Macaca mulatta: one gene and its partners. The protein of the gene in region 4 interacts with the protein of the main gene of each other region in a pairwise test. Links are inferred from orthologs where the notes say so. Each region holds a gene or a part of one and is shown on either strand. Other genes may lie near its edges.

What was found.
Region 1: the proteins of NDEL1 (region 4) and DIXDC1 interact in binary tests that used the Homo sapiens proteins (3 or more experiments, as listed by UniProt). The link is inferred for Macaca mulatta from reciprocal best matches to the Homo sapiens genes NDEL1 and DIXDC1.
Region 2: the proteins of NDEL1 (region 4) and PKP2 interact in binary tests that used the Homo sapiens proteins (3 or more experiments, as listed by UniProt). The link is inferred for Macaca mulatta from reciprocal best matches to the Homo sapiens genes NDEL1 and PKP2.
Region 3: the proteins of NDEL1 (region 4) and KALRN interact in a two-hybrid assay, tested with the Homo sapiens proteins (2 studies listed by BioGRID and IntAct). The link is inferred for Macaca mulatta from reciprocal best matches to the Homo sapiens genes NDEL1 and KALRN.
Region 5: the proteins of NDEL1 (region 4) and CCSER1 interact in binary tests that used the Homo sapiens proteins (3 or more experiments, as listed by UniProt). The link is inferred for Macaca mulatta from reciprocal best matches to the Homo sapiens genes NDEL1 and CCSER1.
Region 6: the proteins of NDEL1 (region 4) and CENPF interact in binary tests that used the Homo sapiens proteins (3 or more experiments, as listed by UniProt). The link is inferred for Macaca mulatta from reciprocal best matches to the Homo sapiens genes NDEL1 and CENPF.
Region 7: the proteins of NDEL1 (region 4) and MRC2 interact in a two-hybrid assay, tested with the Homo sapiens proteins (2 studies listed by BioGRID and IntAct). The link is inferred for Macaca mulatta from reciprocal best matches to the Homo sapiens genes NDEL1 and MRC2.

Annotation. Positions count from the first base shown.
Region 1 is NC_133419.1:112,733,754-112,737,253, reverse strand, and holds part of DIXDC1 (dixin), read right to left. Parts: intron 1,931-3,500; coding exon 1,841-1,930; intron 298-1,840; coding exon 244-297; intron 1-243. UniProt on the Homo sapiens protein: Positive effector of the Wnt signaling pathway; activates WNT3A signaling via DVL2. Regulates JNK activation by AXIN1 and DVL2.
Region 2 is NC_133416.1:35,099,682-35,103,837, reverse strand, and holds the start of PKP2 (plakophilin-2), read left to right. Parts: upstream 1-1,356; 5' UTR 1,357-1,423; coding exon 1,424-1,646; intron 1,647-4,156. UniProt on the Homo sapiens protein: A component of desmosome cell-cell junctions which are required for positive regulation of cellular adhesion.
Region 3 is NC_133407.1:159,033,730-159,036,001, reverse strand, and holds part of KALRN (kalirin), read left to right. Parts: intron 1-1,098; coding exon 1,099-1,237; intron 1,238-2,151; coding exon 2,152-2,272. UniProt on the Homo sapiens protein: Promotes the exchange of GDP by GTP. Activates specific Rho GTPase family members, thereby inducing various signaling mechanisms that regulate neuronal shape, growth, and plasticity, through their effects on the actin cytoskeleton.
Region 4 is NC_133421.1:9,952,856-9,956,355, forward strand, and holds part of NDEL1 (nuclear distribution protein nudE-like 1), read left to right. Parts: intron 1-1,398; coding exon 1,399-1,572; intron 1,573-3,500. UniProt on the Homo sapiens protein: Required for organization of the cellular microtubule array and microtubule anchoring at the centrosome. May regulate microtubule organization at least in part by targeting the microtubule severing protein KATNA1 to the centrosome.
Region 5 is NC_133410.1:99,938,835-99,942,334, forward strand, and holds part of CCSER1 (serine-rich coiled-coil domain-containing protein 1), read left to right. Parts: intron 1-1,769; coding exon 1,770-1,977; intron 1,978-3,500.
Region 6 is NC_133406.1:72,355,181-72,358,680, forward strand, and holds part of CENPF (centromere protein F), read left to right. Parts: coding exon 1-452; intron 453-1,884; coding exon 1,885-2,063; intron 2,064-3,500. UniProt on the Homo sapiens protein: Required for kinetochore function and chromosome segregation in mitosis. Required for kinetochore localization of dynein, LIS1, NDE1 and NDEL1.
Region 7 is NC_133421.1:72,455,024-72,458,523, reverse strand, and holds part of MRC2 (C-type mannose receptor 2), read right to left. Parts: intron 1,545-3,500; coding exon 1,356-1,544; intron 1,196-1,355; coding exon 1,041-1,195; intron 1-1,040. UniProt on the Homo sapiens protein: May play a role as endocytotic lectin receptor displaying calcium-dependent lectin activity. Internalizes glycosylated ligands from the extracellular space for release in an endosomal compartment via clathrin-mediated endocytosis.

The DNA of each region.
Region 1 (3,500 bases), on a different chromosome or scaffold from region 4:
AGCAATTCTCCTGCCTCAGCCTCCCGAGTAGCTGGGACTACAGATGTGTGCCAGCACGCCCGGCTGATTTTTTGTATTTTTAGTAGAGACAGGGTTTTGCCATGTTAGCCAAGATGGTCTTGATCTCCCGACCTTGTGATCTGCCCACCGCAGCCTCCTGAAGTGCTGGGATTACAGGCGTGAGCCACCGTGCCCGGCCCCCATAATGTTTTTAAGGGGTAAAATATATATGTCTTGACATACCTTTAAGTCCTGATTCTCCTCCATACTCTGATCCAGACGACTTTGGATTATAATCTGAATATAAGACAAAAAGAGATAGCTAAACACCTATGCCGTGAAGTTCAGAGGCCACTCATTCAACAAATATTTATTGAGCACTACTAGATGCCAGCTCTGTACTGTGGATACAAAGAAGAACCGGAAACAGTTCCTGTTCTCTGATGGAAGCATATGCATCAAGTAGCAGGTAGATCTATGTGGATAAAGCTTAAAATAAGTATGGGTGGGCCAGGTGTGGTGGCTCACATCTGTAATCCCAGCACTTTGGGAGGCCGAGGCAGGCAGATCACTTGAGGTTAGGTGTTCAAGACCAGCCTGGCCAACATGGTGAAACCCCACCTCTACTAGAAATACAAAAATTAGCCAGGTGTGGTGGTATACACCTGTAATCCCAGCTACTCGGGAGGCCGAGGCAGGAGAATCACTTGAACCCAGGAGGTAGAGGTTGCAGTGAGCCAAGATCGTGCCACTGCACTCCAGCCTGGGCAACAGAGCAAGACTGTCTCAAAAAAAAAAAAAAAAAAAAAGAGGAAGTATGGGGTGGGGGTTGGATGCAGGGGAGGGGGTGGGGTAAAAGGAAGAAGAAATGGCAAGAGATGAAGTTGGAGAGAAATATCAGGGCCAGATCATGAAAGGCCAGTGAGGGCAATGGGGAATCAATGAAAAGTTTTATGCAGAAGGGTGACAAAATGAAGTCTGTCTTTAAAGCAAATTATTCTTGCTGTTTTACAAAAAATGAATTAGAGGAAGACAGGAGAGGAATCAGGTAAACCAGTTAGAAGGTTGCTAGAATACTGGATGGAGGCTTGATTTTTAAGTGGCTGTGAGAATGGAGAAAACTGGATAAAGAAATTAGAAATGTAAACTGGTAAAACCTGGTGACTGACTGATGTAGAGGAAAAGGATTAAACGATAATATCCAGATTTCTATTTGGTGCATTTAGGTATCCAAAACAGATATCCAAAAGGACAAGTAGCTTTGGTGGTTGGGCAGAGGACAGAAAAACTTTAATTTAGGACTCACTGAAATTGAGATGCTTATGGGACTTACAAGTGGAGATAATAAGTAGGCAGTTGCATATTGCATACACACATCTAGAACTCCATAGTGAGGGCCGAGCTGGAAATAAATACATGAGAAGCAAGACGGAAGTGAGTGAAGAACTGGAGGCAGATACTACTGCCCAGGTGAATGTTTAAGACACATGAGGGCCTAGACTGGAATGCTGAGGAACACTAACATTAAAGGCACAAGCAGAAAAAGAGAAGCTTCAAAGAGAACTTGAATGTAAACTCCGTAAGAGTCGGGTCTTAGGTCTGTTTTGTTGCTACCATATCTCCAGCATGTTGAAATAGGGTCTGGCATATAGTCAGCACTCAATAAATATTTTTTTTATTAAATGAATGAAGAAGGAAACAATGTTCAAAAATGTAGGAGGAAAACCAGAACTGGTCAAGGAAGACAGCATTTCAAGAAGACACGAACAGCAGTGTCAAATGCTAAACACAAGTCAAATACATACAAATTTAGCGTCCAGTCACAAAAGATGGAGCTCACCAGTTGTTCCTCGGGATTGACACCTGGTTCACAGAAGGCCAAGGGCCTCTCCTGTTCATCTTCAGGTAAGGATCCGTTGAGCAATAAGGCCTAAATAACCGCAAAGGCAGAACGAAACTTAACTCTCCTTCAGATGACTTAGTGCAGAGTTAAGCTCACCCCTAGTTAAAATCACAACTCAGCTTCCTCAAGAAATTTCATCGGTAATTTTTGCTCCTTAGATACTTCCCATTGCTCACCCTGGGACTAGTTCCTTTCATCAGGTCCATGCTCTGGCTCTTTCAGCTCTCTGGACACCTGACTGCTCTGCTTCAAGGTGCCTTGGCCCCAGAAGAAAATCTAAAAACCTTTCTTTCAAAAGAGACACAACACATTTCAAACTGGAGCTGCTCAAACTCAATTTTACCAGGGAGAAAATGATCTAAAAGCAGTGTAGAATCATCGCGGCTTAGAAATGAGTATTATAATGAATTATTTGGAATCCATTTGGAGCACTCACTTGAGTTTGTTTGATTTTTGTTTGTTTTACTGATTCTGCATTTTTACTCCCTAAAGCAACCTGTATAGAACAAGAAGGAAAACACATTTGCAGAGAGATGTCCTCATTCATTTCAGCTCCTGACCCAGGCGGTTTTCATTAGAATATAAGTAGGTGGAATGGGGAGGCAGATTTACCATGAAGCTAAGAAAGCTCCAGCTGTAGGACCCCGCATACATTGCCTCTCCCAAGGTCCTATACCAAATAATAATATAATTATTATTACAATTATTATTATTATTATATTTGGAGACAGAGTCTCACTTTGTCACCCAGGCTGGAGTGCAGTGGCCCAATTTTGGCTCACTGAATCCAGGGTTCAAGCTATTCTCATGTCTTAGCCTCCCAAGTAGCTGGGATTAGAGGCATGCGCCACCACACCCGGCTAATTTTTGTATTTTTGGTAAAGACAAAGGTTTCGCCATATTGCCCAGGCTGGTCTCAAACCCGTGAGCTCAAGCAATCCACCCGCCTTGGCCTCCCAAAGTGCTGGGATTACAGGCGTGACCCACCATGCCTGGCCTATTCCTAATTATTATATTCAAAATTTTGTAATCTTATTCTTCAAGAAGCCCCCCTGCACACACACAAATTATATATTTTAGGACTTGCAAAACTTGGATCTGTCCCTGCAGGTGAGTATCTATCAGATCAGTGAAAGACTGAAAAATGTGACCCCATTTTATATCTGAAACAATTCTGTCTTGATTCAAAAGAGATGAGTTACAGAAGCTGTTTCCTATTTCAATAAACAACACAAATTCAGGTGGGCGAGGTGGCTCACACCTGTAATCCTAGAACTTTGGGAGGCCGAGGCGGAAGGATCCCTTGACGGTAGGAGTTTGAGATCAGCCTGGGCAACATAGTGGGACCGTCTCTACAAAAAATTAAAAAATTAGTTGAGCATGATGGCGCATGCATGTGGTCCCAACTACTCAAGAGGCTGAGGTGGGAGAATCACTTGAGCCCAGGAGACCAAGGCTGCAGTGAGCCATGATCATGCCACTGCACTCCAGCCTGGGCAACAGAGCGAGACTCCGTCTCAAAAATAAATAAATAAATAAAATCCAGCCAGTGGCTGATCTGCCATATGCTAATAATAAAATTTGAGTAAGTCAAATG
Region 2 (4,156 bases), on a different chromosome or scaffold from region 4:
CAGTCCTTTGGTTTCCTCTTCACTCCCTGGACGCTCATGTAAAAACGGAGGCCATACACCTGTGCCTTGTGTGTCTAAGCATTCGGTGTGTGTCTAAAGGCAGAAGGGTGTGGGTAGGAAAATGGAGAGGAGGGAAGCTGCGTTCGCCAAACACTCCAGATTTGAGTAAGTGGGGTTTTGCAGCAATTGAGTGATTTGAGAGAAAGTGAACATACAAACCCAAGCAATCAAAGGGAAGATTATCTTACTTAATACCAGGGATACATGTTTTTCTTTCTGCCTCTTAAGTCCAAAGAGGAAAATCAGGACAAGTGGCTTTGGTTGTAAACTTTAAGGTCGAGGATCCTTTCTGTTGAGCTTAGCTCTCAAGTTCTCAGTAGTCAACTGCGGTGAAACATAATTAATAGCACGATAAATACAAGTTGTGGAAGATTCGATTGAAATTGGAGGCCTTCTCTGTGGATCTCTCTATAAAGAACCTGCAATAAAGAGAACTTAATCAACGTTAAAAGGGCTATTAAAAAAGCATCGTCTATTAAAATTCATTTCTTCTCTAGAGCCTCTTGCTGGAGTTTCTCTGTGTGGGTGTGTTCGTAAGAGAGGAATGGGTGAGCAAGAGTACAGGGTACAATTCGTGTATCTTCAAGAGAAAACAGAAGCTCTCAATGAGGAAGAACATATGTTTCTGGGACTGCATCTGTGCAAAAAGTACATAGTCCTGAAGTTGTACTAAGAAAAAAACACTCTTTAGAAAGTCTTTTATTTCACACATGTCATCTTCTTGGCACATTTCCCTCATATTGCCCTTTCCGCCTGACCAAATAGCCCTTTCTCACCCTTGGGTCCAGGAAAACCAGGAAACGTTTCCAACAGTCCGACAAAGCCTGACTAACCAAACATACTACTCGCTCGGGGATCCCGCAGGCAAGCCTCAGTCTAAGAACAGGAGTGACTCTCCAGGGCGCACCTGCCTGCAGGGCAGCCCCTCCCTGCATCAAGCGGAAATCCATCCTGTCCAGCGCGGGGCGTGGGCAGAGCGGGGCGCGGCCCCGGCAGGGCAGGCGATATCCGCTGGAACTCCGACAACGTGCGCGACCCCGGGCGAACCGCACCTCTCTCCCCACCTCCCCGCGGGCGGGTACAAGTCACCAGGTGTCCGCGCGCGCGGCAGGGCCCGCCCCCGCTCCCCGGGCCCGACTGCGCGTGCCCGGCCGGAGCCGCGCCCCCTCCCCAGGGAAGGCCGGGCGTCCAGCCCACGAGGCCGAGCTCCCCCCGGCCCGGGCCTCTCACCGGCGCTGGGGGCGGGCCAGGGGCGGGGCCGGACCCGAGCGGGGCGGGGCTCGCGCCAGCGCCCCCAGCTCCGTGGCTGCTTCGCCCGCGAGTCCCAAGGCAGGCGAGCGGCTCGGTCGCCCCCACCGGCCCCATGGCAGCCCCCGGCGCCCCAGCTGAGTACGGCTACATCCGGACCGTCCTGGGCCAGCAGATCCTGGGACAACTGGACAGCTCCAGCCTGGCGCTGCCTTCCGAGGCCAAGCTGAAGCTGGCGGGGAGCAGCGGCCGCGGCGGCCAGACAGTCAAGAGCCTGCGGATCCAGGAGCAGGTGCAGCAGACCCTCGCCCGGAAGGGCCGCAGCTCCGTGGGCAACGGTGAGTGGAGCCCGCCGCTCCCCGGCGCCGCCCCCTGCCCCGCACCCCGTCGCCTCTTCCTATCCCGCCCTCACCCCGCGTGCTGGGAGTGCGGGACCCCATGTTGTGCCCACCTGTTGCTCGCCGTCCTCGGTGTGACCGACTTGCTTGTGGAAAGCACTCTTTTCCATAACCTATTACTCAGCTTCGTCATATAGATACCTATGTATATTAAATATTGCACATATCTATCAGTGTTAAAGACCTCACTTCAAGATATCACCCCTTTCTTTTTCTACTCCGCCCGTCCGCACCCCTCGGTGGTGCGGACTTAATTTGGAGGTTCAGGGAGTCTATAAACACCTTGAGATGCTATGCAGAATTTTGGTGTGTACGATCTTTTTCTGGGAGAAGGAGCCCTTCACTTTTATTAGATTTGTTAAATAGTTCATGACCTCCATAAATATCTTGGAAAAAAAAAAAAAACCCGACAGCACTGGCGCTCCTACAACCTATAAATTGGGATTGTGTTGTCTTGTGCTAGTACTTCGGGACGCTCCACCCTCTTAGGAGGCGAGTTGTAGATCTAGGGAGTGAAGAAAGTGGCTAGGAGGCTTTGGTCCAGGGAACAAACACGCCGAGGGGGAGGTAGGGGACTTTGGCCCTGCCGGCAACAGCCCTGCCCGCCTAGCTGCGCTTCCCACCCCCACCAATGCGGGTGTGGTGCAAGGCTGATCCCTCCAAAAAATTAAACCCGGAGGTGAAAAGGGTGTAAGCACACACACGCACACTATGTTCGTGATTGATAGACGGGGGAGGTGAAGGGAAAGAAGATGGCAAGCCACTTGTAAAAATTAGAGATCATGATGTATCCTTTTCTCCCCTGCTGAAGTCAGGTGATCGGATCAACTCAGTAACCCTTGTTTTACTTGTTGTGTGTGTGAGTTTGCATTATAAAAGCACTATGTTGGCTTATTATAGCAAAAAGGAGAGGAAAGAAATTGAGCAATTAAGTTGGAATATCTGTTTCCTGCAACGTGCAATTGTTTCTGTATGAAGTAAACTTGGGCATTGGCGAATGTAGGCTAACCCATTCTAATTTCTGCTAGGAAAATAGAAAAATTCTAACAGGCCAGACCACAGGTTTCAAACAGCAGAGTCTGGGAGGCTGTACTGTTCGTGTAAAAGAATCCGAAAGGATCAGGTAGTCAATGTTAACATACTTGAAAGGTAAAGAGAAGATGTTCAATGATCATAGTTAATATAACTGAGGGCCTAGTATGTGCCAAGAATTGGGCAATGTGGTTTGCATTCATTTGAGATATATATATATTTAAAAACTTGTGAGCTAGTATTTGAATCCTCATTTTACAGATGAGGAAACTAAGCAGTTAAGTAACACTGAGGCTTTCATAGATGGTAAGTGGCAGAGCTGGTATTTAAACTCCCAAACCTGATTTTTAAACTTATCAGTTTTATCATTAAGTTTTAAAATGATTAATACAAAGTGGGATTTGTTAGATGCTAAGCCTCTCCATGGCCCCCTCTCATTTTCTTTAAATAAAATTGAGGAATTTCTGAAAGGCTGGGGAGGTCTAGAAAACACAGAACTGCTGCAATACATGGAGGGAAAGACCTTATATTTAGACTTAGGAGTCTGACTAAAGATTCCAGGATGAGTGAGGCCAGTCTTTGATGAGTGGAGCCATCACACCCATTCATTCTCTGTGCCCATAGGTCCAGTGCTAAACTGAAATCAAATCAGCTTCCTCTGCGTGGGGGACACAGGAGGCATATTAGATGTTCTTTCTTATCCATGAGAATGGCCAGCCAGGAAGAGAACAAGCAGATACAACTCTTCCATAAATGGAGCCATGAACAGAAGAAAAGGGAATGTTGCTGAGCATCTACTATGTGCCTATTCCAGAATCTTCACCGTATTCTTGAAACAATTGTGTGAGACAGATACGAGAATCCATCTCACATATGAACTATGTGTCTGTCAGCATTGGTTGGAAATTTAATCCCAACTCCACACACAATCTGTTCTCTCTACAATGTAATGCATCACCTGTGTGGTGAATTCAGCAAGCATCAAATGAGTATGTTATTCATGCTGGGCACTGTGCAGGTGCTGAATTAAACACAAAGACTCTGCTTGCTTTAAAGCAAAAAGTTTAAAGAAGGAAGTCAACTGCTAGAAAAATACATTACCAAATAAAAAGTAGTAAGTGACCTAAAAGAATGGCTAATATATTAATGGAGTTTAGAAGTGTAAATTGGCCGAGCATGGTGGCTCATGCCTGTAATCCCAGCACTTTGGGAAGCCGAGGCGGGAGGATCACCTGAGGTCGGGAGTTTGAGACCAGCCTGACCAACATGGTAAAACCCCATCTCCACCAAAAATACAAAAAATTAGCCGGGCTTGGTGGGGGATGCCTGTAATCCCAGCTACTCGGAAGGCTGAGTCAGGAGAATCGCTTGAACCGGAGAGGTAGAGGTTGCAGTGAGTGGAGATCGCGCCATTGCAC
Region 3 (2,272 bases), on a different chromosome or scaffold from region 4:
ATCTGGGTCTGGATGGCTCCATATACCATGTTCTCAATCACAGTTCTCAAGGTTGGAAAAGTTGCCCAGAAGGCAAAGGATTCAAAAAGGGATCAAGAGCCGGGCACGGTGGCTCATGCCGGTAATCCCAGCACTTTGGGAGGCCCAGGCGGGTGGATCACTTGAGACCAGAAGTTACTGACCAGCCTGGCCAACATGGCAAAACTCTGTCTCTACTAAAAATACAAAAATTAGCTGGGTGAGATGGCACACACCTGTAATCCCAGCTACTTGGGGAGCTGAGACACCAGAATCGCTTGAACCTGGGAGGCGGAGGTTGCAGTGAGCCGCGATCATGCCACTACACTCCAGCCTGGGCGAAAGACTGTCTCAAAAACAAAACAAACAAATAACAACAACAAAAAAAAGGTGGCAGGGTGGGAGTGGGGCAAAGAATCAATAATGCAAAGAACAAACTTTGCCTACTTTCTGTTTTCCCCAACTAAAAACTGACAAATGAAAGTAGTTTGGCTAGACGCAGTGGCGTCCTCCAGAAATCCCAGCTATGTGAGAGGCTGAAGCAAGAGGATCACTTGAGCCCAGGAGTTCGAGGCTGCAGTGAGCTATGATTGTGCCACAGCATTCCAGCCTGGGTGACACAGTGAGACTTCATTTCTAAAATCAATATAAAATAAAATTAAGAAGTACTTTGCAAAACACACGTGGGGTTGCTTGCAGCCCCTAGGCTACGGTTAATCAGAATATTGCTGAAGTCCCTCTTGGTGAAGGCTTTCTTTACTTAGCAATCGAACCTCTTAAATGGTCGTCACAACATTTTGTTGTGAGCAATTTTTAGAGTTAATGAAGGAGAATGTTTCCTAAACAAGGTCATTCATATTTCTTCCCTGCAGTACACCATATTTGTAAATATATTTATTTTAGTTCTGAATATTACAATAACTTTAGGCTCTAACTAAATATGCATGTGTTGCACATTTAGTCTTCATGTATAACAAGAAGTATGAGAGAGCTTAGAGCTCTTACTGATTTGTATATGTGTTATTTTTCTATTTCTTCATATCAAACATATTTCCTTTGCCTTTCCCTGCCTACTTTCAGGATGGATGATGGCCGCCTCTTAGACTACCTTATGAATCATGATGAACTGATGGAGGAAAAAGTAGCTTTCTATATTCGAGACATCATGGAGGCTCTGCAGTACCTTCACAACTGCAGGGTTGCACATTTGGACATAAAGGTAATAAGAAGTGTCAACTTTGCAGGGAATACCTTAAATGGCCAAGTCCAACTTACAGTCATTACTCATAAGGAATATAAATTCAAATTCATTTTATTTACTTAGAGTAGAATATTATGACTTTTTTTTTTTTTTTTTTGAGACAACTCTGTTGCCGAGGCTGGAGTGCAGTGGTGCAATCTCGGCTCACTGCAACCTCTGCCTCCTGGGTACAAGCAATTCTTCTGCCTTAGCCTCCCGAGTAGCTGGGATTACAGGTGCCTGCCACCACACCCGGCTAATTTTTGTATTTTTAGTAGAGATGGGGTTTCATCATGTTGGCCAGGCTGGTCTTGATCTCCTGACCTCAAGTGATCCGCCCGCCTTGGCCTCCCAAAGTGCTGGGATTACAGATGTGAGCCACCACGCCCATCCCATTATGACTATTAAAGAGAATCTGGGTTGTCATACAATTTAAGTATATCATCCATGAATTAATGAGAATATACCAGAGCCACAATGACATCTGGTGTGAGAGAAAGTAGGGAAGTTCTACCTACCTAATCTAACTTCATAGAAGTAAGCCAACAAATGTCACGTTTTCTTCCATGCTGCTCAAAAAGAAGCCCCTGTTCACCAAAATGAGTAATTTATTATTTCCTTGACTCAATGCAGAAGCAATGTAGTTAAGAAGACATGATTTTCAATGTCAAACTACTTCTCTGAATTACAACCCAAACTCAAAGTGTAGTAAGCTCAGAATGATACTTTGAAGTCTCCTATGCAGTTTCCATAGTGCATAGGGAATTTTCCATACACCATAGGCTTTATCAAAGAATAGCATAATTGTGTTTGAATTAATGAGGTCTTTTGAGTAGTCAAAATAGAGGCCTGAACTTCCCTTCTTTTCTCCCTTCCTCCTTGGATCTCCGCAGCCTGAAAACCTGCTCATTGACCTACGGATTCCAGTGCCTCGAGTGAAGCTCATCGACTTGGAGGATGCTGTCCAGATTTCGGGTCACTTCCACATTCACCACCTGCTGGGGAACCCTGAGT
Region 4 (3,500 bases):
GTCTCAGTATGTTGGTCAGGCTGGTCTTGAATCCTTGGCCTTAAGTGATCCTTCTGGTTCTGTCTCCCAAAATGTTGGGATTATAGGTGTGAGCCACTGTGCCTGGCTTCTTAACCATTTTAAAGTGTACACTCCAGTAGTGTTAAGTATAGTCAAATTGTTGTGTAAACAAATTTTTAGAAGTTTTTCATCTTGCAAAACTGAAACTATACCTTTTGAATAGCGACTACCCATTTTCCCTTCCCTTCAGCCCCTGGCAACCACAGTTCTACTTTCTATGATACCTCATGTAAGGGAAATTATACTGTATTTGTGACTGGTTTATTTTACTTAGCATAATGTCCTCAAGGTTAATCCATGTGTAGTATGTGACAAAATTTCCTTCTTTAAGGCTGAATAATATTCCATTGTATGTATTCATTTTCTTTATCTGTTCATCTGTGGGTGGACATCGAGTTGCTCCCATCTCTTGCTATTGCAAATGATGCTGCTGTGAACATGGGTGTGCAAATACCTCTTTGAGATCCTGTTTTGAATTCTTTTGGATACATGCCCAAAAGGGGGATGACTTTGTTCCTTTTTTAACATAAGCAAATATTCTGTAGGTTAAATTGCATAATCGGAAAAGATAACATTAATTTTGGGTTAAAAACTTGATATTGGCTGGGTGTGATGGCTCACGCCTGTAATCCCAGAACTTTGGGAGACTGAGGCTGGCAGATCATTTGAGGTTAGGAGTTCGAGACCAGCCTGACCAACATAGTGAAACCCTGTCTCTACTAAAAATAGAAAAAAAATTAGCCAGGTGTGGTGGTGTGCCCCTGTAATCCCAGTTACTTGGGAGGCTGAGGCAAGAGAATCTCTTCAACCCAGGAGGTGGAGGTTGCAGTGAGCCGAGATTGTGTCACTGCACTGTAGCCTGGGCGACAGAGCAAGAAGAATGACAAATATTTAAACCACTCCGAATACTTTTCTAAAACTAAATATTTCATAGTAATAATAGTTAATGCCAACTCATTTAAAATTACAAAAATGCACTTAGTTGATTTTGCAATAACCCCAAAACTACAGCATTTGAAAATAAAAGCAAATGAGTTGGGAAGAATATTTACTTTTGTGTGAATTGTACTGTGGACTCTGCACTGTTACTTTTTGCATACGAGCATAAGTAATTTCTCTCAGATTGTAACATTTTTAAATTCTAAAAGATCATTTAGACAGTAGTTTTGCCATTTTTATTCCCCCTAGAAATAAAGTTGTTAATAATTAAATAGGAAATTCGTTTTTGAGAAATAGTAATTTAGGAAGAAGATCTTTATGACATTTTAGATGTCACTTTTCTTGATATATTTGCTCCCTCTAGTGAATATTCCTGCCCTTGTTTGGAATATTTTACAGATTTAAGGCAAGAACTAGCAGTTCGGGAAAGACAACAGGAAGTAACTAGAAAGTCGGCTCCTAGCTCTCCAACTCTGGACTGTGAAAAGATGGACTCCGCCGTCCAAGCATCACTCTCTTTGCCAGCTACCCCCGTTGGCAAAGGAACGGAGAACACTTTTCCATCACCGAAAGGTTTGTAATGTCTTTTCTTTTTGAGGCCATGTGTTAGATGATCAGCTTAAGGGGGTTTGTTGCTGAAGGCGGTTGCTAAGGTTTAAAGAGTAATTTTAGTTTAAAAGTTGGTGAAGTCTAGTGCTATGTGAAACAGAAGAAGGAATTGTTTTCCTAGGCCACTCATACATAGGAAACAGTGAAATGATGGCTACATTTAAGATGAGATTTTTAAAAGTTAAAGGTTTTTAGGGAAAATTTATTTTTTGATGATAGCAATAGATTTTGTGATTATAGCAGTACGTTTAGGTAGAAAATTTTAAAAACACAGAAAAAAAAAATAAAAATCATGTTATCTTACCACTTACAGGCATCCACCATTAACATTTTGAGTTTTTTTTCCTATTGTGTGCTTGTGTGTGTTTGTGCACATCTCTTTGTCACATACAGATTTGGGGATCATATTTAAATACAGTTTTATTTCTTCCTTTTGCCACTTTCCATGTCCTGAGAGACCTGAGGCCTTTCTACATAGAATGTACAGAGAATCATTAAGTTGCCTTTCAGACTCATGTAAGACCAGCTTGGGTAGACATGCCCATTCTGTTACATGCTTCAGGAGCTGCCATTTTCAAAAGCATCATTCGGAGTAATTGATGATTTGCACATACAGAATACTCACATTGCCATCGCCAGTGCGTTTTTTTAAATTCAGATAAGCAGAAAAACCATCTAGTAGCCACTAGATAGAACCTTACAATAGAATCCTAAAGCTCTCAATTGAGATTTGTTTAGATTTTGCAGCTCGCAGTTCATATTTCGGCTACTCTCATCCCCCCATGCTTTTTTTTTTTCCACCCTATATTGAAGCTGTCATCCCACCCTTTTTAAAATATGGGATTTTATCTTTCAGAATGCTGTGTGGGCAACTAGTACAGTGAGCTCTGTATGTCTGTGCTACTCAGTATATTATCACCAGCCCATGTGGCTATTTAAATGTATATTAAAATGAAATAAAATATAAAATTAAGTTTCTTGGTCACATTAACCACATTTCATGTGCTCAGTAGCCCTTGAGTAGATAATTCAACTTGTCTTTGCCTTGTTACGAGATGATATCAGATAAAGTATGTGCAGGTGCTATATGGTCATAAGGTGTTACTGATTGCACCAGTATGTGCCAGGTTTACTGCTGAGGACAAAGGGCAGGCAGTAGATTATTAGCAGTCACCAGGAGCCCTCATGGTCAGTTTTTCAGACTAGCCACTTGTGTATTCGAAGATTTCCCAATTACATCTGAGGACTAACAGTTTTAGTTTTATATTACTGATTAGAATTATGCAGATCTGAAAATCCTTTAGTTGAAGACTCATCAGAATAGTGAAAAGCCTCAGTTGAGGTGACACCCACAGGTGGTGCACATTTTTTTTAATAGCCCGTTAAGAATTTTCGTTCAGGGACTTGGGGAGTCAACAGGACATGGAGCCTGCTCTGACACAGCATGAGATGTGCCAACTGTATGGCAGTAGTATTTGCTTAATAGATATGTTTTTAGTCTGGAACCAATAGCATGAATTTTCACAGGCTAACCTAAAAGCTGCTGTGTACTAGATCACTGCAATTTCATTACAAGAAAGCACGGAATTGGTAGGGCGCAGTGGCTCACGCCTATAATTCCAGCACTTTGGGAGGCTGAGGTGGACGGATCACTAGGTCAGGAGATCGAGACCATCCTGGCTAACACGGTGAAACCCCGTCTCTACTAAAAATACAAAACATTAGCCGGCCGTGGTGGCGGGTGTTTGTAGTCCCAGCTGCTCGGGAGGCTGAGGCAGGAGAATGGCGTGAACCTGGGAGGCGGAGCTTGCAATGAGCCAAGATTGCGCCACTGCACTCCAGCCTGGGCAACAGAGCAAGACTCTGTCTCAAAAAAAAAAAGCACAGAATTG
Region 5 (3,500 bases), on a different chromosome or scaffold from region 4:
CTAATTTAATATATACCTACTGTGACTTCTAATGTTTATATTTGATTTTATTCTTATTGGTCTTAGAGAAAATAGCCCTAGAAAGCATTAACACTAAATAGAAGCCTATAAGAATGACTGTATAGTTCATTGCAAGTTGGACATAATATAATTAAATTGGATCAATTGTATCAGATTAAGTATACACTTTAAAGTGAAAATGTTAATGTTTCTTAGTATAACTGTAAGTATACTATTTTGTTCAATTGCATGCTTGTTTTCCACACAAAATGCAACACTGTAGTGGTTTAGAGCTAAGTGTGCATTACCAGCATTCAAACCTCAGCAATATCCCTTGTTAGCTGTGTAACTATCAGCAAGTTACTTAACCTCTCTTGACTGGAATCACCCCATTGGGAAATGGAGATTATAATAGTACCTAAAAGAATTGTTGTGACAATTACATGATTTAAAACCTATTAGTTACGTGACTGCCTGAGGTTCAATAAGAACTATATAAATATTAGCTATTATTATATGTATGCACATTATGTAGTTAGTAGGGGGAAAAATCCTAGGTTAGTTCATTTTACATCCACTTCTTACTAACTCTTTAACAACAAGAAAAGTTACTTATCTGTGCTTTATATTTACCTCTTGAAGTTATTCAAGGTTTGAATGAATTAACACACATGGAGTGGTTAGCACAGTACTTGGACAGTAGTCAACCCTCAAAAAATGTTAGCCATAATTTTTTATTCATTATTTCATTATAAATATAAAATGGAGGTAATAATTATTATCTTATCCCTTCAAAGGACAATTGAACCACTGAACATACCTGTGAAGATAAGTAAACAATTGAATATTATTCAAAAATGTGTTTACTAATTATCTGGTAATTTACAAATTCAGTTATTCTGTTTGTGAATAATCACACATGAATAAAATTAATTAAAAATATATTTTCTTATCTGTATTATTGCCTGACCTTGGTGGCAAGTGCCAGAGCATCTGTTTGTTTTTTTCTCTATTTAAGTTGCTAAGGTATCTTGTCATATAATTTAGAAAATTATATGATATAAAATATATAAGAAAATAACATAATTCAGAAATGTGTATGTATACATATATATATATATATATATATAATTGAAATTAAACACAAGCCCTAAAAAGTATGTTACAATATTAATTATCATTATTGGATAGGTCTCTTGGTTTTAAAAATGGAAAGAATTTTTTAATGGAATGATTATATCCTAAAACTGCAATTTTCATTGAATCTTAACACTAAATATGTATTTGACCCATTCCATAATTTCTACTGTAATGTCTGAAAATTTTTAAAAACTAATGTCGTGAGGCTGGGAGCAGTGGTTCATGTCTGTAATCCCAGCACTTTGAGAGGCCAAGGCAGGCGGATCATGAGATGAGGAGATCAAGGCCATCCTGGCTAACACGGTGAAACCCCGTCTCTACTAAAAATACAAAAAATTAGCCAGGCATGGTGGCGGGCGCATGTAGTCCCAACTACTCGGGAGGCTGAGGCAGGAGAATGGCGTGAACACGGGAGGCGGAGCTTGTAGTGAGCCGAGATTGCATCACTGCACTCCAGACTGGGCGACAGAGCGAGACTCCGTCTCAAAATAATGATAATAATAATATCATGAAATGAGGACACAAGAAACACTTTCTAGGATACTAGAACCACTGATCAACAACTTGGGAAATACTGCTGTAAGCATGCTGCACTGTAATTTTTGTTCTTTTTTTTTTTTTCTTATTAGGAATCTTTCCCTGAAATTAACAAAGGACGTTGATCAAGAAGCCAGGTGTTCCCACATCAGCCGAATGCCCAACAGTCCATCTGCGGATTGGCCCCTACAAGGTGTGGAAGAAAACGGAGGCATAGATTCTTTGCCATTCAGACTGATGTTACAGGACTGCACAGCAGTCAAGACGTTATTATTAAAGATGAAGAGAGTTCTTCAAGAGGTAATGGTTTGCTCTAAGATTAATGTCCTTCAGTGCTGGTAGACAATGAAGTCAGAAGACGTGGTGAGACCCTGCTCTGTCAGTGATTAACTGCATGGCATTGTGCAGGGGTGGGGTTTCCTCTTGGACCTTAGCTAGTCTCATATGTCAAATGAATGTTTTGAAGTTCTGGTTTATAAGGTACTCTTTAGCCTTAAAATTTTAAGAGCTTACGAAATACTTAAAAAATAATAAACTAATCCCAAACATCCTCCAATTTGTCAGTTAAGGAGAAATTGATGTCAGCTATAAAGTTATGGTTACATGCTATTATAAAGCTATTGAGAGATCTATTAAATGTATTTCACATCAATGATACTGGGCTTTGTTTTTATGATACCATAAAAGTAGTTTACTTAGTCGTTTTTGTTCCAATAATAATCAGAATTCAGTAAAGTTGAATTACAGTAAAATTCAATCTGAAGGTTGGAATGATTTTGCCTAAGGAATGCAGCTACCCTCCACACAATCTGGGCCTAGTTAGTGAAAGAGTGAGCTAGTCAGGAAAATGCATCATGGGATTCTTTTACACTTGTGCCCAGAAATCAGCCATTCTTTAGGATTCAAGTTTGCTTTGGTTTAATTGTTATAATTACAACATTTGTTTTATTTGAAGGATTTCTATAAAACGTATACACACGATTATTATTGAATCGTGACATGTGAAGTGAGAGTTAATAATTTTAAATTATTTTCCTCAAGTAAGTGTAATTTCAGGGCAACAGCCTGAAATTTGTGTCTTTGTATTACATCCCATTATCTTTAAGTAGATTTACCTTTATTGATTGGAGATATTAATAAAGAATTGAGAAAAATATTATTATTTAGAATTGATAGTCTCTATGTTATAATGATTGCTACCATTTGCTTTTTGAACACTTTCATAATAATGCTAGCAGTTACCACTGGAGGCTAGAATTGAATCAGGAAGAAAGAAGGCCTTATAAGATAAATGAATGCCATAGACTATTGGGGCTTCCAGTGTGCTCTCATCAGCTGTTATAAACTGTATTAGTCTGTTCTTACACTGCTAATAAAGACATACCTGAGGCTATGTAGTTTATAAAGGAAAGACATTTAGTTGACTTACAGTTCCACATGGCTGGGGAGGCCTCACAATCACAGTGGAAGGCGATGAAGGAACAAAGTCACATTTTACATGGCGGCAGGCAACAGAGCTTGTGCCCGGAAACTCTTATTTATAAAACCATCAGATCTCATGAGACTTATTCACTACCATGAGAACTGTATTTGGGGAACCACCCCCACGATTCAATTAGCTCCACATGGCCCCCCACCTTGACACATGAGGATTATTATGATTAAAGCTGAGACTTGGGTGGGGACACAGTCAAACCATATCGTAAACAAAAACTGGAAGATATCTTCTCTGTGTCCCATACAGGTTGTATCACTAGGGCAACCTTTGTTTCTGCATTTTCTGGATCCTATAATGTGTTGTGCTGGAGTGGTATGCTTATACC
Region 6 (3,500 bases), on a different chromosome or scaffold from region 4:
TGAATTAACTACTGAGATCAAAGAACTAAAAGAGGCTCTTGAAGAAAAAACCAAGGAGGCAGACGAATACTTGGATAAGTACTGTTCCTTGCTTATAAGCCACGAAAAGTTAGAGAAAGCTAAAGAGATGTTAGAGACACAAGTGGCCCATCTCTGTTCACAGCAATCTAAACCAGATTCCCGAGGGTCTCCTTTGCTAGATCCAGTTGTTCCAGGACCATCTCCAATCCTTTCTGCTGCTGAAAAGAGGTTATCATCTGGCCAGAAAAAAGCTTCAGGCAAGAGGCAAAGGTCCAGTGGGATATGGGAGAATGGTAGAGGACCAACACCTTCTACTCCAGAGACCTTTTCTAAAAAAAGCAAGAAAGCAGTCATGAGTGGTATTCACCCTGCAGAAGACACAGAAGGTACTCAGTTTGAGCCAGAGGGACTTCCCGAAGTTGTAAAGAAAGGTATGCCTAATTTTAAAACAAAATTATTTGTGTTCTTTTGAAATTCCATGTAATGGTTCACATATAAAAAGACAAAAGTATTTGCTTTTTTACATTATTGTGCAATAATCTCATTGATGTTCATAAACAATAGTCTGCTTTTAAATGGATGAGGCATATATTTTCCTCGGGGATCTCATTATTTGTGTCATATTAACAAAAGAGCTGGTAGATTGGTAAAATGACTGTCTAAAATCTCTTTAGAATTTGTTATTTGAATGCTGAAAAAAATGGTTAAATCAAGGACGCCCTTCAGGGTTTCCTACCCTTTGGTCATGTCTGACCTAGCTAGCAGGTGAGCTGGAGGGTCCACCCTGTGGTGCTGGCCTCCTGGCTGGAGCCACTGACTACACGTTGTTTTGTTTTTTTAAACTTGGTTTTCTCCCAAGTCTGGCCCAAGGACTGGTGCCAGTCTAGGAACTGTTTGTTATTGGTTCCTGATTGAAACAATGTATTGTAATTAAGTAGGACTTTAGAAATTTTCATAGCAACTTGATATTTTTGTAACATCCAAGCACATATCATTTTTTCTATTGATTTGTTCTCATTATATTATACAAAAATATTATTCCACAGCAGATTGGAAATTCTTTGACCCCCTTCCGCCCCCAAATATCTAAACTGATTCTGTGCCATAGATGGTTTGAAAAGCATTGTTCTGAGTAACTCTAGCCCCAAAATAGTTATCTATCTTTCACTGGTAATTTTTATATGTAGTGTGTGAAAAACAAAAACAAATGCTGCTTTAGTTAGCCCTGAATGCAGTTCTGGAGTGTGTGTTGATACATTAACTCTTAGTATCCCTGGGATTGACTTTCTTTCCTGGGTCATCAAAAGTCATGTCACTTTCTTTTGTGGAAAGAGACAACCCGAGTGAGGGTGAAGTCACCTTTAGGAAGGTCAGTTTCTCTCCTCCCACCTACATTAGAGTGCTCGCCTGAAGTAGCTGTTACCATTTTACATTTTCCCCCTTTAAACAAGCACTTGCCTTTCTTTTATATATATATTTTATTTTTGCATTGTACTCTCCTTTTTCCCCCAACCCAATTTTACGATAAGGCCTGCTGGCATTCTTTAGATCTTAGAAAAATGCAAAGGAAAACATCCATGTAGAAGATAGAAGCAGAAAAAACTTTTTCTGTGTAGTATTATTTTCCCCTTCTTTTCCCATTGTTATTTTCTATGTTTCTAATAAGAAAAAACCTGTTTGTTACTTGATTCAATTTGGTGACTCCCAGAGCAACTGTGAAGTGTAATCCATTGACCAAAGTGGCTAGGACAAAGTATTTTTTGGAGTTTACATTATCCTTGTTAAAACCACCTAATGAATATCTTTTCCATTGTAGATAGAATTGGACCTAGCAGTGCTGACAGTTAGCTTTTTTGCCCTTAGGGTTTGCTGACATCCCGACAGGAAAGACTAGCCCATATATCCTGCGGAGAACAACCATGGCAACCCGGACCAGCCCCCGCCTGGCTGCACAGAAGTTAGCGCTATCCCCACTGAGTCTCGGCAAAGAAAATCTTGCAGAGTCCTCCAAACCAACAGCTGGTGGCAGCAGATCACAAAAGGTAAACTACCGTCAACATCCATCTACTGTTTGAGATCCAGAAAATTGCAGTATTACCTGGGTGAGGATTGGACACTGCACCCCCTGATTCAGGAGCCCTTTCAAAAAGTCTGACCTTCTTGGTGTGGTGTCAGTCAGTCAGTAGTGAGCAAGTGACCGGGTGAGCATTACAGTATCAGGGTACATGATCTCATGCTTGAGTCAACAGGCCATTTATACGTAGTTTGACGGAAAATGGCATTGTTACATTAAAAACTCGGTGGATTTCTAAGAAAGTTTCAGGTGTTACTGATGAAGGATTTGAAGAGGTAATTTTCCTTTTTGCCACTGGTATTAGTTTCAAACTTTACTCTCACTTACCTGCCTCCAGCTGCGAATTTTTTATTGTTTTTATTAATCCTTTACTTTCTTTTAAAAAAGGAAGCACATATTTCAATAGATATCTAACGAAAGGAACTCTGTTTATGGATTTCTTTCTCTATTTTGATTGTTGAGGATCAAAAGGATCTTAGTGACCTCTGTGCACCCTACAACGTCCCAGAAGATGTTATGTAGAGCATAGAGAATATTTGCTTAACAGATCTTTATTCCTGTTACTGTGATCCATACCAGCAGCTACCATTTAAGTATGCATAGTATATGCATTTTATTTATCTTTCTCATTTTATTGAAGTCTCACAGTAAGTGGTATTATAAAAGAGTGAAAATCGTGAGACTCATAAAGATTTAACCTCCCAGTGTGAACCCCTGCTTCCTCTTCCTCTCACCTCCACAGTCTTGATCTTTCTACGATACCAGTGTTTGTCAGACTGGGGACTAGGGGAATATTTTTGGAAGTTGCTGGAATAACTTCAAAGAGTTTGAACAGTCTGTGATTTTACCTTGATTGCTCACTTGTCAGAGTTTGATCAAGTATGCGATCTGATAACCTTGAACCAGAAAACAAAGCTTTGAAAGTGTAATAACCCCTATTTGTGTAATGTGATAATTCATAAGTGAGCAAACACGTTCTTAGGATTTGGGATACCAAATGTGAACACATTGGTGGTTACATGTGGGCGATCTAAAGAGTACAATATATTTAGATTTCTTAATCTGAACATCACAACAACAGGTTTGCAAATTTGTTTTTGTTGATGTATAAGAGCTATAAGCATTAAGGAGTTATACTTAGTAATGAATAATATACATTATGATTATAATAAATACATTATAATAAAATTTTTATTCAAGTATGAAGAAGAATGATCTGAGATTTTCTTTCACTGAAGTGGACCCATTTGTTACTCTTATTAGAAATATTCTACCATTTTGTGCAATTTTTTCTCCCCTCCCCTACCAAATTCTCTCTCTCACTCACATTTGGATTTAACTTTTGCATGCTGCCAACAACAAAATACTGAAGTATATACTGGAGAATATATATTTAATATACTGA
Region 7 (3,500 bases), about 63 Mb from region 4:
CAGGCGTGTTTGTGTATCCCAGCACCCAGAAAAATGCCTGGCACATAGTAGATACTCAATACGTAATTGTTTTAAAATTCTTAAATAGCATCCCCTAAGGCAAATGACTGCCACTATAGTCCCCAGCATTGTTTGCAGTATGTGACAGCAGAACATCCTCTCTGTCCCTAGGAAGGGTGGTCTGTGTCACTACGGCTTTCTCCTTTTTTTTTTTTTGAGACAGGGTCTTGCTCTGTCACCCAGGCTAGAGTGCAGTCATGTAATATCAGCTCACTGCAGCGTCTGCCTCCCAGGTTCAAGCGCTTCTCTTGCCTCAGCCTCTCGAGTAGCTGGGATTACAGGCATCTGCCACCACGCCTGGCTAATTTTTGTATTTTTAGTAGAGACGGGGTTTCACCATGTTGGCCAGGCTGGTCTTGAACTCCTGACCTCAAGTGATCCACCCGCCTCAGCCTCCCAAAGTGCTGGGATTATAGGCGTGAGCCACCGCACTCAACTGGCTTTGTCCCTTTTTAAAGGGTCTTTCTTCTCTGCTTGAAGCCCTTCATCAATTCCTTCACTTCCACCACATCTAAGCCCAAACCATGGCAAATTGTCATAACCCAACAATTTCTTGAGATGACAGGACCCTGGGCTGGGTAGAGCACTGGGGGTGAGGGCTGGCAGAGAGCAGCCCTGCTTGCAAAGTATCTGCACATAATGTGGGTTCTGATGCCACCTTCTGGCAGGGAAGGGCAGCTGGGAGGAGACCAAGAATGCACCAGGCACTGCGCCTAAGGTTTCCCGAGAATTAATTCCTCCAATCTCACCAATGACCCTCTAGTAACTTGCTCAGGGTGACTTGGCTAGCTGGAGGTGGATTCAAGTCCCAGCAGTCTCTCACGTGGAAGGGAAGGCATTGGTGGGGAGGAGGGGGACTGCTGAGAGGCAAGAGGTTCCAGGCAGGTACTGATAATAACTAGGATATCCTTCAGCTGGGGTAGCACCTGGAGGTTGGGGGTGTATTTTGTGGCCCTGTGATAGGGAGAGGGAGGTCTCACCGGGCCCCAGATGGTGACACAGTCCTCCAGACTGTCCCGGAAGTTGTTGGGCTCAAAGGGGTGCCAGTGGGTGAAGCTCACAAGGCTCCCGTCAGACCACTCAAAATTCATCTGCAGTTTCAAATCGTTGAGGCCGATCCACAGCTCCTCCACCTCTGGGGGTGCAGCAGGAGAGGAGGGGAGAGAAGACATTGAGAGGTCAGCCTCAGCCACCAGTAGGGAGGAAGGAACATTTTCTGAGGCTCCTGGGCAGGATGGGTGGGGCAGTGGGAGGCCCTGCCCTCCACCCAGACACATGGGCGGGCAGCTCCTCACCTTGCTTGATCTGCTTGGTGATGAATTCCAGCTCTGCCATGCTGTGGATGCTGACCAGGTCACCACCGCCCCGTAGACACGCCTTCTTGGACTCCTGCCAGCTGCGCTTCTCGGCCTGCAGGCGGTAGCAGTGGCCCTGGAAGGGCTGCCAGCTTGGCTCACACTCCACCTTCACATTGGCCCACCTGTCTGCAGAGACCCATGAGGCCGCTGCTCAGAGACCGAGCCACCCAGTCTGGGCACCAACCCACTGGGTTGATGTCAACACAGGCGAGGCCTCCAAGTCACCTCCTCTCCAAACTCTCCCAGGTCAATCCCGGTCCCAACCACAGGTCTTGGAAATGCTAAAAGAATAAAATCTTACAGGGCTGCTGGAGCCCCAGGGGCAGAGACCCAAGTAGTGGTGGCAGATTCCACCCAGGACAGAACAGTTCCTCTGGCTGTGGCTCTCAGAATACAATGGGTGGGCCAGGCATGGTGGCTCAGGCCTGTAATCTCAGCACTTTGGAAGGCTGAGGCTGGAGGATTGCTTGAGGCCAGGAGTTCAGGAACAGACTGGGCAACAAAGGGGAGACCCTATCTCTATAAAAAATAAAAAATTAGCCAGGCATGGTGATGTGTGCCTGTGATCCCACTACTCAGGAGGCTGAGGTGGGAGGATCACTTGACCGGGGAGGTCAAGGCTGCAGTTAGCCATGATTGCACCACTGCACCCCAGCCTTGGCGACACAGCAAGACCTTATCGCAATCAATGCATCAATCAGTCAATAAACAATGGGTAGAAAGTCAGGACAAACCAGCCCCATGAGCCTCAGTTTCTTCCTCTGTAAATGGGGTTTCCAGCTATGAGATTCAAGCTTGGCTTGCGGCCACCCTGCCTAGTAAATGGAACCACTGTTATTCTCTCAAATAACATTTATTGAGCACCCACTCTGTGCAGGTCTGGGCAGCCCAGGAGGGAGAAAATTGGGAAACGGGGCCTTGAGCCACTAATGGGGCCCAGGCAGGCCCAGCAGGAATCTGAGGTCTTGGTGGGTGGGCGGCCGAGAACATTAGAAGGTGCTCAAAGTCACTGCAGATCGGCCCCATCCCCCAGCTGGGGCTCCTTCTCTTGCTCCTTTCCCCCTCCAAACTCCTAACCCTGAACCCCAGGGCTGAGAAATCCACCCGTCCCAGGCCCTCCCTTGCCCCAACTTCCGTGCCTTTCAGGTTCACCTTCTAGGGGTTGGGGTCCGAGGGCAGCTGAGGCAAACGAGCTCTTACTTGGTCTTGGCAAGAGAAAACAGGACTTCACCAAACCACCCACAGTGTCAGGCTCGGGCAGGATTCTGCCTAGCCGGGCAGGAAAGCGCGCGCCCACTAGAACACGGCCTCAGACTGGGATTCCAGTAGTCCAGCCACACCTGCTCCTGGAGACCCGGCAAAGCTGGGCGGGCGGAGAGCCCGACCGGGCTCGCTCTCTGGCTCAGGACCTGTCAATCATCTCTTGTTAGCCAATGAGCTAAGACCTGAGGCTGGCGCCCCAGACAAGCGGATTTTAGTGGCTGCTGAGACCCCAGGGGCCTCAGGACCCGGAAGGGAGCTTGGGAAATGTGGATGCTTTGGGGACACGACGGCGCCTGCCTTCGAAATGACAGGACTTTAAGTGATGATACCGGGAAAGCAGAACCTGCCTAGAATATGCCTCGTGCAGAGAGATATGGGCTGGGGAGAGGGGCGGAAATCCGAGGTCTTAGATCTGTCTGCAGTTCCGGGAAGACCCAGAGGACAGAGGACTTGGTGGGGGCCACAGATAGGCTAGGCATGCCCACACCCGGGCCTCCCAGCGGGTCCCTTCCTTCAGAAAGCTGCTTCTGGGAGGACTGGGCTAGGGCCCAAGGCTCCCTCCAGCTAGAGATGAGGGTGCCTTAGATCGGGCTGCTGACGTTGCAAGCTTCTGCTCCTGGCCCCTTAGGGAATGAGAGATAAAGCAGTGGTCAACAGTCCTGAATCAGGCCGGAGCCCTGGCTCACGCCTGTAATCCCAGCACTTTGGGAGGCCGAGGCGGGTGAATCACTTGAAGACAGGAGTTCGAAATCAGCCTGGGCAACATGGTGAAACCCCATCTCTAAAAATACAAAAAAACAAAACAAAACAAAACTAGCC